Macaca mulatta: one gene and its partners. The protein of the gene in region 3 binds, or shares a complex with, the protein of the main gene of each other region. Links are inferred from orthologs where the notes say so. Each region holds a gene or a part of one and is shown on either strand. Other genes may lie near its edges.

What was found.
Region 1: the proteins of NFS1 (region 3) and LYRM4 are in contact, whole or in part, in a crystal structure (PDB 6W1D), measured with the Homo sapiens proteins. The link is inferred for Macaca mulatta from reciprocal best matches to the Homo sapiens genes NFS1 and LYRM4. Residues at the interface, in NP_066923.3 of Homo sapiens: Leu56, Arg57, Pro58, Leu59, Pro68, Leu69, Pro71, Arg72, Leu74, Asp75, Leu78, Glu314, Tyr317, Arg321, Asp372, Arg412, Phe413, Thr414, Thr415, Glu417, Glu418, Tyr421; in NP_065141.3 of Homo sapiens: Phe23, Tyr26, Asn27, Tyr28, Thr30, Tyr31, Arg34, Arg35, Asp38, Val65, Arg68, Gln69, Ile72, Thr78, Asp79, Lys80, Leu81, Ile82, Ile83, Asn85.
Region 2: the proteins of NFS1 (region 3) and ISCU are in contact, whole or in part, in a crystal structure (PDB 6W1D), measured with the Homo sapiens proteins. The link is inferred for Macaca mulatta from reciprocal best matches to the Homo sapiens genes NFS1 and ISCU. Residues at the interface, in NP_066923.3 of Homo sapiens: Tyr360, Val361, Glu362, Glu364, Ser365, Leu367, Met368, Ala369, Lys371, Glu399, Asp400, His403, Ser404, His429, Arg432, Leu433, Glu435, Met436, Ser437, Pro438, Leu439, Glu441, Met442, Trp454, Thr455; in NP_998760.1 of Homo sapiens: Tyr35, Val40, His42, Tyr43, Glu44, Val49, Gly50, Ser51, Leu63, Val64, Gly65, Ala66, Pro67, Ala68, Cys69, Gly70, Val72, Lys74, Phe90, Lys91, Thr92, Phe93, Gly94, Cys95, Gly96, Ile99, Lys135.

The regions. Positions count from the first base shown.
Region 1 is NC_133409.1:177,930,103-177,934,780, forward strand, and holds the start of LYRM4 (LYR motif-containing protein 4), read left to right. Parts: upstream 1-1,431; 5' UTR 1,432-1,639; coding exon 1,640-1,725; intron 1,726-4,678.
Region 2 is NC_133416.1:115,693,775-115,698,679, forward strand, and holds the end of ISCU (iron-sulfur cluster assembly enzyme ISCU), read left to right. Parts: coding exon 1-54; intron 55-1,859; coding exon 1,860-1,938; intron 1,939-2,326; coding exon of another isoform or gene 2,327-2,373; exon of another isoform or gene 2,374-2,388; intron 2,389-2,588; coding exon of another isoform or gene 2,589-2,641; exon of another isoform or gene 2,642-2,656; intron 2,657-3,500; coding exon 3,501-3,586; 3' UTR 3,587-3,998; downstream 3,999-4,905.
Region 3 is NC_133415.1:88,511,826-88,516,430, reverse strand, and holds the start of NFS1 (cysteine desulfurase), read left to right. Parts: upstream 1-1,555; 5' UTR 1,556-1,619; coding exon 1,620-1,743; intron 1,744-2,318; coding exon 2,319-2,428; intron 2,429-3,107; coding exon 3,108-3,224; intron 3,225-4,436; coding exon 4,437-4,520; intron 4,521-4,605. Other genes in the region: ROMO1 (reactive oxygen species modulator 1), read right to left, coding at 1-109, 1,146-1,276.

The DNA of each region.
Region 1 (4,678 bases), on a different chromosome or scaffold from region 3:
AGGTTGCAGTGAGTCCGAGATCCTGCCACTGCACTCCAGCCTGGGCGACGGAGAGTGACTCCATCTCAAAAAAATAAATAAATAAATAAAAGGGAAAAAAAAGTTCCTGAAAATATAAAGTTGCTTAGATATACAGCAAGTTTATCGTTTTAAAACCAAATACACTAAAGCAGATGAGAACACAACCGTGACCAAGCGGTTGGGAGAAAGATGGATTTTAATGCAAAGTTGTTTTGTTTTTATGCATAAGGTACTCCTCGCTGTGCTCGAGTGCGGAAAGGTGGGGTTCTTCCTAAGGTTGATTACATAAAGCAAGATTCCAAAAACAAGAAAAGTGCTTTGCAAACACAGTAACTAGAACTGGCTGAAGCTTCCAGCGTCCAGTCCCATGCTCAAAGATCAGAAAAAGCAACTTTATCCACCACTTTAATAAAATGATTCAAAAAAGTTGAAGTCTTCTGAAGAAAGCCATGGTTGAAAACTTGCTCCGCTTCTTGGAGAACGCCTAAAGCCCTAACGGGCTCAAATTATTCTCCAAAGTCTAGAGCCCAAGCTGCATTTTACGCATTTATTAGACTACAAAACCACGGGGACTCTTCACTCAAAAGCAAAAACACATCCGGAAAGAGGAAAAAATCCATGGCCAATGTAACCCCCTAACCACACGAACCGCCCACGTCCTACCCCAGGCTGCAACGAGGTCGGCACTCACCCACCGCTCGCCCGGGAAACCCAGACCCAGGTATTTCAAAATCAGAAGCACGGCAGGCTCGTTGGCTCTCACGGGCAAGAATCTTAAACCCCAACTTCAGAGATACCCGTGCACGCTGGGCGCTGCCATTTTGACGGAAAGCGGGCCTTGCCCCGGAGGCCCCTACGCAGGTCGCCCTGAGCAGAGCCGGAGTGCCACGGAACCCCTGTCTCATCACCTCCACACCCAGACGTCGCATCCCCCGGCCCAAGGAATGCCAATAAATCCCACCCTGCCGACCATGATCGGGCGAAGTTAAGTCACCCTTGAAATCCCGCAAGGTCTCTCAGGCAGCGGCGAGGGCGGCCGCCGCCAGCGTGGGCGGGGCTGTCAGGGGCGGGGCGTCGACGCGGCGGCCTTCGGTAACCCGGGCAACGCGGCCTTCTAAAGGCACAAAGGGGCGCTGCGCCCCGAAACACAAATGTCTCCGCCAAAACCCCAGACGGTTCGCAAAGGCTCTCCGTGATGCGACTGCACGTCCCTCGAATGCCCGGACCCCCAATATCCGTCCCCCAGGAGCTTGGCTGGATGCACGGGCGGCCGGGCCTCTTATTTTCTCGCCCTCCGGCCGCGTGGAGATGCTGCTGGATCCCGAGCCTCCCGGCGGGGGCGGAAGCGGGAGCGGGGCGGGGCGGAGGCATCTCCCTCCTTGCACCGCCCCTTTAGCTGCCCCGAGCCCTGCCTTCGCCCGCCCCCGAAGCGGCGCGGGACGCCCGGCGCGGTCTGCGGTCCGCAGGGCTGCCGGCTTAGGCTTAGGACCGGCCCGCTGGCAAGGTCGAGCCGCTGCATTTTATTTCGTGCGTGGTTTCTGCACAGGCTGGAGTTCCGAGGTTGGGTCGTACTTGGGACCTCGGCGAAGAGGACCCGTTAATTTTTTTTCTTTCCAAAATGGCAGCCTCCAGTCGCGCACAAGTGTTAGATCTGTACCGGGCGATGCTGAGAGAGAGCAAGCGTTTCAGCTCCTACAATTACAGGTGACCCAGCGGGCACCGGGGACCGGGGGCCAGGGGCCGGGGACCGGGGATGTGGGTTGCCGTGGAATGTCCCCGGGAACTGGGAGCCACTGTCCTGCGCCGGCGTCCGCGAGGCAAGGACCGGGCTCCGCCATCGAAAAGCGTGCTCCTACCTACAGGTGTGGCCTCTGAGACCTCGGGGAGGAGCCCTTGTTTCTATCAGGGAAGACGTTCGTGTCCTGTGACGCTTTCCCCCTAACGACTATCTTGGTAGTTGTTCTAGGAGCATAATTAGTGTTATGTTTCTGCAGAAGAGAAAAAAAGGATGGAAATCAGCCATTGGTGAAGTTAAGGCCAATGTGTTGCATATGTAAAACTTCCCTTGAGCTGGAAGAGTTGAGAGTGGAAGTGGCCAGTGAGTTGCACACAGCGACAAAACTGAAGGCACACTCTAGCACCTCCCTAAAATTTCCTGGGTGTCGTAATGAGTTCTTTTGGTTGCAAGAATCAAATCCATTCTATTTAGGGTACGGTGGAAACGTGTAGCGGTAAAGGAAAAAGCGTCTCAAGCTTTAGAGCTGAAACAGTTTATCCTGGCTCACCAGACAGAGATCCCGCTTCCTGGACCTTGACAGCAGAATACTGAGGGCCTAAACTCTTACATCGTTAATATAACACATTCACTTTTTCCCACGCCTCCCCACTTCCCTATTTGCCTATGAGTCTTTTATTGTTACTCTTTGTATGTTTTTTGTAATTCAGAACCTCTGCTTTCACAGTGTTGCTGGTTGTGACCCATCATTTTCTTATGGATTCTCTCTGCATTTTTTTTAGGTTTGTTTTTTGTTTTGTTTTGTTTTTACTAACTACCTGCTCCTCTCTGAGTTTGAGCCATATTCCCATAAGAATCGGATTGGATCAACTCATCTCTTTACCCCAAGGCCCCCTTAGGTGACTGGCCAGACTGTGGATTGGATGTCATAAGAGCAGAGCCTACCCTTGGAACACACCTGGTTAGGTAGGCCGCGCTCCACCAGGTGTGTGAGCTGGCAGGCCCTGAGATGGGTCTGCCCAGTACAACCTCGGTCAGAGGACAGGAACACTAAGCCTCTTAAGCAATGATTCTCAAATTTTTAGAAACCTGCCTAGAAAATGTACTCACCCTGCAAATTTGAAAACAGCATCAGTGTCATGCCACTGAGGTTGTATCCACCCAGTTAAGTGGTAAAATTTCATGGGAGAGAATGATTTTACTTAATGACTTTGACTCTGGAGGATAAAGAGTGTAATAATAGGCATACTGGTGGAACTTTAGCAAGAATTAACCAAACATCTAGCATCAAGTACTTAACCAAGTCTGTTGAGGAAACACATGAAATATGCAAGTTAAATAAATAGAAAGCATTTGATTTCACCATAGTCTGGAGTAAGATAGTTTGTCATAAAGCTTACTCAGGATACACAAGGACTTGGAATCAGTAGGCAGTTCACACTGGCAGTGAGAGTCTTACGTGAGAGCACGTAGGAAAGTCAAGGTGGAGCCCTCGAAGACTATAACTTGGACAAGTTATTCAATCTCCGTATTTCAGTTTTCTTGTTTATGAAATAGACTGTTGGACTAGACAATCTCTAAGGACCCTTCCATTTCTGAAATTCTGTTTGGAAATGATTTATGAGCAAATGAGGCCCAAGTGTTTTCAAATGAGTAATTGCCAACTGAAGAGGAAAATCATTCAAACTTTAGGAAAATCATTCAAGGCTGTACCTGAAAGGCAGCAAATTGAAAATGGGTTTCAGTATGGGCAACTGTAAGATCATATGCGTTCAGAAAATAATTGTTCAAATTATACTTTATAAGCATATACTTTTAAGCTAAATTTATTATCCAAATATAAATATATTATCCAAAGGAGTCTGGTAATCATTTTATACTGTTGCCTGAGATCATGGACCTAAAAACCTAGATACCTGCTACTATTACCTCCCTAGATAAACTTACTTGTTATAAAATATGCCTTTCTTTTACATTAAGGCTGTGTCTTGTGAATTTCAAGAACAGTCCCTTTGTCCTTTCTAATCTCAGCAGCTGTTTGTCACTAATGGCAAATCAATGGCAACACAACATCCACTATCAATTCTGTGTGCCACTGCTATCTTATGTTCTTCACGTCTATTAACACATTTGTTTTGACAATAATCTTGTGAGGTAGGTACTATTTTTATTACCCTGTAAGGCAGCTGAGGCACAGGGAGGTTAAGTTACCTATCAAAACTAACACAGGTAGTGCTGAATAAGTAATCAAAAGTAGACTAGGAAACATTTTTTAATGACCTGCGAATTGTGGTGCCTAAAGTAATTGGAGTAGTGAACTAAATACTTTGGAACTCGCTTGCAAGACCTATAATACAGGCCACTTTTTGATAGCAGGAGCCCTGTCTGCTCCTCCAGTCTCAGCCCAAGTCCCACATGTGCATCCTGTCCTCTGTCATCATCTGTTGCAGTTTCCTAAATGTGCCACGTCCTCTTGGACCTCCAGGCCTTTGCAAGTACTGTTCTATCCAGCGGGACCTTTATCCTGTCTAGAGTGCCTCCTCTTCCTTCAAGATTCAGCTCAATTGTGACCTTCTCTGAACAAAAGTTTTCCCAACTCTCTTCATCCCACAGCCTCCACTCCCATCCCTCCCGCCACCCAAATAGGTCTCATTGCTGTGTGACATTTTGTAGAAGCATACTTTGCCCAGTGCTATCCCATACCTGGGTTAGCAGTCCCCAACCTTCTTGGCACCAGGAAACAATTTCATGGAAAATGACTTTTCCATGGACCGGGTCAAGGGAGGGTTTCAGGATGAAACTGTTCCACCTCAGATCATCAGACATTAGATTCTCACAAGGAGCATGCAACCTACGTCACTTGCATGCACAGTTCACAATAGGTGCACCTACGAGAATCTAATGCCGCAGCTGATCTGACAG
Region 2 (4,905 bases), on a different chromosome or scaffold from region 3:
GGTTCTGCAATTGCCTCCAGCTCATTAGCCACTGAATGGGTGAAAGGAAAGACGGTAAGGTTGCTCACAAATCTGACAGAATGAAATTGCATTCACCCCAAGCCTGTCTCTTGACGGGTCTAATGGGTCAAAAACAACCATAACTTTTTTTTAATATTCTGAATTTTTAAAGTTTCTGCTATACAGATGTTGATTATATTAATTCTTCAAATTGGGAATTATAGATCATTCTAGATGATGTTTGGGTTTTTTTCTTGTTGATCATTTTGTTTGTTTGTTTGGGTGTTAATTACATACAAAAAAGATCCTCACCTGTCCCTCTAACAAAATAGAATTTAGAAGAAATCTTTGGCTTTCTCTAAGGTTACCAATACTCTTATAATTTGTCAAGTCAGAGAGTTGTTATATGGTAGTTATTTTCTTGCTTATTTCCTCTCATGTTTCAGGAAGGGTTCTAGGTGGCTTACAAGGATTGGTGAAATAAACTAGCGTGTGTTAAAAGAGGGATTAAAGAATCAAAAACACAGCAAGGGTAGGGGCAAAGTGAACAACGAAATCAGAACAGTGATCCAGGTGGCTGATCACAAGCCCTCTAAAGGCAGAGATAATAAAGAGCTAGAACTTCTCTTTCATCCCTTTCTCTCCGAAGTGTCTTTCCCTGGTAGCTGCAGAGGTCAAAGGTCCCAAAAGCAGTGAAGAGCTGGACTTTCTAAAATCCAGTTGCTGTCAGAACCTCTCAGAAAAGCCAACCATCATGGCACTCATCTTTGCTGCCCCAAGGGACCAGGTGCAGGGAGCTGAGTCATGGAGGAGCATGCTTGGGAGCTGGCCAGCTCCACGGCAGAGCGGTTTGCCAGGCCACGTGCCACCTGCTTCCTGTGGCTCACGGCCTTCTGGCTGGCAAGCTCCTGTGGGCCAGGAAGCTCAGACCTAACCTGCTCTGGCAGGAGGTAGCCCTGAAGTGGTTTGTCAGGAACTGTCCTCAGGTGAAGGGAGAAATGAGACAAGGCACTTATGCTCCCAGAACCTGGCTCTTAGGGGACTGTGAATTGTGATCAGAAAATGGGAGAGAGAACATTTCTTTAACCTTTAAACTGAGATCGCCTATCTGAGTTTCAGGAGCAGAACCTGAATCAGCCAAGAAGGGTTAGCAGAATTGGGAAATTGAACGATAGTCAGACATAGCAAAGGAGCCCAGCTGTTGGGAAATCTGGTTTTCTGTAAGGCGGTGGGGCACTGTTCCACATGGGCGAGGATCTGTTTGCCTCACATTATCCCCCCCGGGCTGTCAACCAGAACCCAGGCGTCCTCCTCAGTTGATCTGGAGGAGCTGCTCCTATAGGCAAAGGGTGACACCAGAGAGAGCGTTCAGCCCGACCCGGCTGTGCCACTGCCACTGTGCCACTTACCTGACATCTTCCCAACCTCTCTGATGCCATGTGGCACTTCTAGTCAAAAGGATTTATTCTAACATTTCGTATGAGGACATCAGAGAAGCTGATATTCACAAAACCAGTATCGGAAATCACTACCTTTTAAGGAAAAGATTCCTGACACAGGCCACAAGCAGATCCCTAAGAGACTTCTCACCGGTTCCACTCCTGGCTTAGAGAAGTGTCTGGGCGGTCTTTGCTTACCCAAGCCAGGCAGTGCAGCTGTGTATACTTCATGCTTGAGAATCCCAGCTGCAGCTTTGATAGAGTGGGAGTCATCCTGAGAAGACCCTCAACCCTTTGAGTTATTAAACAGAAATTATCCCCACCAACCCCGAGGGCCTTTTTGGCCTCCCTTTTTTATTGTCTGGCCCTCACAAGATAAAGCGTTGCTAAAACTGCCCGTCTTTCCATTATGCCTCTCAGGTGGAGGAAGCCTTGACTATCAAAAACACAGATATCGCCAAGGAGCTCTGCCTGCCTCCCGTGAAACTGCACTGCTCCAGTAAGTCTCTGCTCTCCATACCAGTCAGCTGGGACATTTGGCAGTAATTTCAACTTGCATTTGCAACAGTCCTTTTAGGTCATGGAGCCCATGTTTATAACCCTCAGAATTAGAGCTCATGAGTCTGTCCTTACAACCTGCAGAGGGTTAGAGCCCCCGTGGTCTCACATTCATCCCTAAGAAAATCATGCCAGAAGGAGATATGCACCAGCCATCATACTGAGCACTTGATGGGCATCATTTCTAAACCTCACAGATATCCTTGAGTGCACAGTCGATGTCATTACTTTCCTCTTATGGATGAAGGAGCTGAGGCTTGGGTTGAGACACCCACGTCACATGGCTAATAAGTGGGAGAGCCAGAATTTAAGCTCCAATCTTTGATTTCAGAATCTGCTGTTTCTAGCAGAGGAGAAAACTCAGCTTTCTCCATAATCCCGTTTCCTGTGTATTTCTTCACTTCCTGTCTGGATGCTATAACTGTCAGGGTCTGCATCTGTATATATGGCACAACTAAGCCCAGTTGTACAATGTCCCCCTCTCTGCTATCCTAAAAAAAAGCTCACATGCCTTAAGACTTGTACTTGGCTTTCCAGTTTGGTCTCTGTATTAAATCTAATGCTTTTTCCATCATTTCTTAACCTTCTCAGGGAAAGAAGGAATGAGAAACATTAGCCTTAATGCATCGATGGAGGTTTACTAACCAAATTAGTTAAAAATCAGCAGAGAGTCAGGCCTCTTGCCAGGGTAATACTCACAAGGAGAAGAGCCAGGTGCCGGGGCAGACACACTAACTCATTCTTCAGGAAGCCTGGTCAGACCCAAGTTCTTTCCACTTGATCTGGAATTTTAAGTACCCATAAAGAAAGGTCATCACTTGTAAACATTTTCACATGGTTTCAGGAAATCCCTAGCCCTTTTATTAGGCATTTTTAGGTACTGAAACCTTTAGCTGATGTTCTCTGCTATTTGCTTGCTTTCTGCTGTCATTCCAGCTCTCTTGGTTTTTATTTTCCCCATAGCCTCACTTTGAATATTGACTCCTAAATAAAAGTGGTCAAACTCTCGATCACTAGAGGGTGATGTGGCAAATGCCATCCCATCAACAGATTGACATGATCTTTTTTCCAAAGGTCATGTCAACTTTTTATCATGATATGATTTTGTCCAAAGCCAGACTTTGATGGGAGCAGGCAAGAACTAACATTTGCTATGTCCCTACTATGTGTTAGACATCTTCCGTAAGTCCCCACACTATCCTGGCAAGAAAAGCATGATTATCCCAGTTCTATAGAGTAGAAAGTAGGTTCGAAGAGGCTAAGGAACTAGCCTGGGATCACAGATATTTAAACCCTAGTCTGTCTCCAGGATTACCCACAGGAGTAACTCAGCTCAGTAAGTAGCTGCTGACCTGCCCGGCAACTCCTCACCCCAGCTTTCTGTCTTGGTTACCCCGTTAGTCCCCACCAGCACCACTTCCTCTAAGCTCTTAAAGATTCTATTCCCAAAACCACTTCTTTCGCATCTAGAAACTTAGGCTTCTTTCCTTCCGTTACCTGTAGTGCTGGCTGAAGATGCAATCAAGGCCGCCCTGGCTGATTACAAATTGAAACAAGAACCCAAAAAAGGAGAAGCAGAGAAGAAATGAGCCCTCCCTGGGAGAAGCCTCCAGCAGGCCACACCCCTGTTTCCCACCTGCCGTGCAATCACCTTAGATGTTCAGAAGCCGCTCCCTCTCCACTGAAGAGCTATGAGATACGCACAATACTTGCTGTTCACATTATGACTCTCATGCAAGCAAAATACACAGTTTCATTGTTCTGAATCCCGTGGTTTCTTTCAGTCCACTTTTATCGCCTTAACCTAGTTAATGTGTATTTTGAATTGTGTGTATGACCTCAGAACTGAAATTGATAAGTTGCAAATGTTGATAGCCCATGAAGTACGTAAGTATCTAATTTTACCTGAATTGATTTGGAGGGAAATTACCAGTAGAATGCCTTTGTCTGAATATTTGATAGAACTAATTGTTGTACATAAAACAGATCTGCATATATATAAAAAAATAATAATAAAACAATGGAAGATAATGGTGTTCTCTAATAAGCCTTGTCTCTTGGGCCCATCATTCACTCCAAAGTGGTGCCCAAAGCCCCTTGGGGTTCCCAGATGTTGGACCGCAATGACATACACAGCTCTCCAAGCAAACAACAGTAAAGGTCATGTACAAGATTTTTTCCAAAGACAAATACACATAATATTTTTTTGGAACAAGGATGAAAGGAGATGATTATCGCTTTTCATTGTTCTTTGTGAGATAATAGTTGACAGCTCGAAGTGAGTCTTGAAGATTCTTTTTGTAATTTCACTGGTTGCTCAAATCTAAGAAGCATTGGCTTAGCACCCTAAAGATACGTGAAGAGCACCTCGGGAATGAGTTTAAAATGCAGATTTCTAGGCCCAAGTTTCTGACTTCTGTCTGGGCAGGTAATTCCAGAGCCCCTGACTTTTAAGAACCACTTTAAGAACCAAGGTCAGGCCGGGCACGGTGGCTCAAGCCTGTAATCCCAGCACTTTGGGAGGCCGAGACGGGCGGATCACGAGGTCAGGAGATCGAGACCATCCTGGCTAACACGGTGAAACCCCGTCTCTACTAAAAAATACAAAAAACTAGCCGGGTGAGGTGGCGGGCGCCTGTAGTCCCAGCTACTCGGGAGGCTGAGGCAGGAGAATGGCGTAAACCTGGGAGGCGGAGCTTGCAGTGAGCTGAGATCCGGCCACTGCACCCCAGCCTGGGCGGCAGAGCAAGACCCCGTCTCAAAAAAAAAAAAAAAAAAAAAAAAAAGAACCAAGGTCATAGATGAGCCGAACTTTAGGGAAGAAACTTCTGAATGCTCTGTTCTGCATCGGTGTAGTATGTAACTGGTTCATTCTGAACTCTCTGTACCTGCATAGTACACCTAAGGT
Region 3 (4,605 bases):
TTAGCATCGGATGCCCATCCCAATGGCCATGAATGTGCCAAACGTGCCGCCACTCTGCATCATGGTTTTCCCAATGCCGCCCATCAGCTCTCGACCCCGCATTCCGATCCTGAGGAGGAAACCAAGATGGGGCTATTTGGTAACAAAAATACCAGAAAGAGTATTAACTGCTCCTTTCCAATTTTTTGCTAACACTAGTCTAGCAACCCCTACATCTCATTTTCCACTTACTGGATATTACCTCTTACTACCTGGGGTAGGTAATGAGAAGGAAAAAGATCCATCTGGGTCTCCAGGGAATTCTGGTGGATGTCATATTAACTGCCTTCAGTTTGTGGAAGGCAGCAGATGCAGTGTAAAATACATAGGCAGAGAAACCAGTTTTTTGGACTGGTGTTGCCTGCAGGTTAAATAAGACCCAATAAAGACATCTATCTTTTAGTTTCTTGTTAATGATTTTGGAGTAAGGTTGGGGTTCAAGAGCCACCTCTGCAATTTACACGTAGTGTGAAGTGTAAAATGGGCATCTCATTATTTACAGGATTTTGAAAACTACAGGATTTAGCACAGTGCTTAACATAGAGTAAGTGCTCGGTAAATGGTAATTTACAATCTGGAGATAGAGCAATAACAGCTCCTAAATGTGAAAATGACTTTCAGAGTGTAAAGTTTGACTGCTTTATCTCTGTTGTATCCTGTATCCAGAATAGTAAAACCGCTGAACAAGTTTCTTTCCTCATGCGCAATTGGAAATAAAAATAAAAGCAACAGTAGTAACCAGTTACTGAGCACTTAATATGTGCCAGATTCTGTGCAAAGTGTGCTGATCGAATTTTTAGAACTCTATAAGGTAGACGCTGTCTTCATTCTACACTTAAGGAAACCCAGTCTCCAACTTGCCTAAAGTCACCGAACCAGTAAGAAAAGGGCCAGAAAGCAGTTTGACTCTAAAGCTCAAATTCTTAAGCACTGACCCTTCCAACCTGACCTTTCAGATTGAAGGTGGTTTGGAATGAGTCTGGCTCGCGATGGGACAGAGAGGGAAGTCTAAAGGATTAGGAGGCTGTGTTCAGGCTCCAGGCCGAATGGGGTAGGGCCGGAAGATCTGGTTGTCCTACCCAGAGATCACCGCCCGCGCCCCTCACCTGAGACAGGAAAAGGTGCCGAAGAGCGCCCCGGCCGCCATGCCCACGGCGCAACCCATCACGAAGCCCATCTTGACGCGGTCGAAGCAGCTTGGCTGGGACTGTCCGTAGGGACCCACGGCCACCGGCATCTGCGGGGGATAGGAAAGTGTGGGCCCAGGCGCTGGCCCAAGAGTCGGGCGTGCACGGAGGCGGCAGGCGGGAAGTGGGCCCAAGGGCTCGGGGGAAGTCAGGGAAGGAAAATCCATGGGTAGCCCGACTCCAACACCCTCTTCGCGTTCCGGCCCCGCGTCGCCCTGCGCCTACCTCACCTAGCTCGCGGCCTCGGTCGCTCAGCTCTACGTCTCTCCCGGAAAACGACTGGGAGGGCGCTCGAGGCCCGATGAATCGCTTCCGGATCGCGGGGAAGCACTTCCGGGAGCCTGGGGCCCAGGACCGTAGCAGCTTCGGAAGGTGGGCTCTGCCAGCGGGACCATGCTGCTCCGAGCCGCTTGGAGGCGGGCGGCAGTGGCGGTGACAGCGGCTCCAGGGCCGAAGCCCGCGGCGCCCACTCGGGGGCTGCGCCTGCGCGGTACGCTCGGGTCCCGCTCTCCGGGAGGTGCGGACCTGTCCCCTCCGCGCGGCGACGCAACTGAATATTCCGGAGCCTTCCTGTCCACCCTGCTGCCCAGACTCTCTGACCCTTTCTCTCAAACGACACATCCCTCAGACTTTCTTAGGCGGGTCCCCGAACGGTTGACCCCGGCGCACCACCCCTCGCACCCTGCGCGACAGGCCCCCAGAGCCGTGGAGGCGCGTCCTTCAGACCGCTCCTGGCCAAGTTACAGATGCTGCTCTGGGCTCCCGTGCAGACCGTTAGCTTCGGTCAGAAGGGGCTGCACCTACTCTGGCTCCACGTTCCTTCTAAATGGCTTGGCCCTTTACAGTCTTCCTCCCTAGGAGGCCATTTGAATATCACCTCAACAGCCCCTCCAGGAACCCTCTCTCCCTCTCCTTTACCTCCTTTTACAGCGTGTCAGGTATCTTCTGCTGTTTTCTTTCCATTGAGATTCGACCCCAGCATCCCTTACACTTATCTCACCCCCAGCCAGATTTTTCCTTCTGCCCTTTGGATGCCATGCGTTCATAGTTGCCTTCGGTCTTACTTGGCCACTCCATTCCATTTTTTGTCAGTTGGAGATCATGCTCCTCAGTCTGCTGTTCCCGCAGATACAACCGCTGCCCCGGAGGCGGGGCCAGTGCTGCGACCTCTCTATATGGATGTACAAGCTACAACTCCTCTGGTAAGGATGGAGCTTTTCCCAAGGCTGTTTATTAGGAAGTAAATGATGGGCGTGACCACGCAAAGCAATGGCTGAATCCCTGGAGAAGTGAGAGCCATGAAGGTGTGCTGGAAAAAGCACTGAGCCAGGAGTCAGGAGGCTTAAATTTGAGGCCACTGGCAGTGGCTTTACTACTCACCAGCGATTGACCTTGGTCAAATCACTTCAGCGCAGGCTCTATCGTAGTAGTTGAAAGCATGGGCTCTGGAATGAGCAGAACCACCACTTAGTAACTGTGTGAACTTGGACAAGTTTTAAATGGGTTAAAAGACTAATGCAAGTTTTCACCAGTGTGTGACAAGGGGTATTTGCCTAGGCCCTGTCCTGTCCCAGCCCCTTGTAGATCACATTGCCTGGCGGGAATGGAAACACCAGCAGAAACATGTCGGAACAAGGCAGTGTTTGTAGACTACCTGAGGGGAGGCAGAACGATCTGAGTTGGGATGGGTTGTGAGTGGGAGTGTATTAGGTTGATAGTTGGTGGGTAGTTTTGTGGGAACAAAAGAATGTTTGAGGCCTCCTCTAGGCAGTGCCTGAGGGGTTCAGAGTGTCTTGAGGCAGGGTGGGCAGGTCTGAGGGGTGGAGGGGGACCTGAATTGACTATGGTCTCAAGGAAAATGATCTGTTCTGTTGTGCTCAGGACCCCCGGGTGCTTGATGCCATGCTCCCTTACCTAATCAACTACTATGGGAACCCACACTCCCGGACACATGCATATGGCTGGGAGAGTGAGGCAGCCATGGAACGTGCTCGCCAGGTTAGTACACAGGAGTCTAGGAAGTTCTAAGGTCAGACGGGGCAGTGGCCTGTGGGAGGCATTTCCTTCTTGGTAGGTGTGCATGGATGTAGAAGTGGTTTTGGATTCTTTCTGGAAGAGATTCAGAGAGCAGCCTTGGAGTTTGACTGCAGGCATCTGATTAGTTCCCATATTTCCTGGCTAAATGACTTGGGCAAGTTATCTAATTTCTCTAAGCCTTATTTTCCTCACATTTAAAATGGAGATTCTACTCTGTAGGGTTACTGGGTGGGTTAAATAAGACCATGTTGGTAAAGTGTTTATTAACACAACACCGATAAGTAAGAAGTACTATAAGTAGTAAGAGCTCAATAGTTCTTTTTTTTTTTTTTTTTAAGAGGTGGAGTTTTCACATGTGTTGCCCAGGTTGTAGTGCAGTGGTGCGCAATCTTGGCTCACTGCAACCTCTGCCTCCCAGGTTCAAGTGATTCTCCTGCCTCAGCCTTCCAAGTAATAGGTATTACAGGCACACGCCACCACGCCTAGCTAATATTTTTGTATTTTTATTTATTTATTATTATTATTTTTTGAGATAGAGTTTTGCTCTTGTTGCCCAGGCTGCAGTGCAGTGGCACAATCTTGGCTCACTGCAACCTCCGCCTCCCAGGTTCAAGCAGTTCTCCTACCTCAGCCTCCCAAGTAGCTGGTATTACAGGCGTGCGCCACTACACCTGGGGAATTTTGTATTTTTAGTAGAGATGGGGTTTCTCCATGTTGTTCAGGCTGGTCTTGAACTCCTGACCTCAGGTGATCCACCCATCTCGGCCTCCCAGAGTGCTGGGATTACAGGCGTGAGCCACCGTGCCCGGCCTAATATTTTTGTGTTCTTAGTAGAAATGGAGTTTCACCATGTTGACCAGGTTGGTCTCGAACTCCTGACCTCAGGTGATCTTTCCACCTTGGCTTCCCAAAGTGCTGGGGTTACAGGGGTGACCCACCACACCTGGCCAATAGTTAATTAAAAAAAAAAATTATTAGTTTGCATTGGGCTGGAAAAGAGCCTGGGATCTGGGATATAACTAGAATTTGATTCTAGTAGGTACAGAGCTTCATCCAGGGCAATTTGGTGAATGCAGTGGAGCTCTTCTTGCTCCAGGGCTGTCCCACCTGTGTCTGCAGCTCTATTTCTGCCTGGGGAACTGATGTTATATATCTCTGTTTCTTGACTTGCAGCAAGTAGCATCTCTGATTGGAGCGGATCCTCGTGAGATCATTTTTACTAGTGGTGCTACTGAATCCAACAACATAGCAATTAAGGTAAGAGAAGGGAACCAGAGGGCATATGTGGGCTTTCCTGACCTGGGAGATAGTGTCCATCCACCTCATTTGGACTCGTATATGT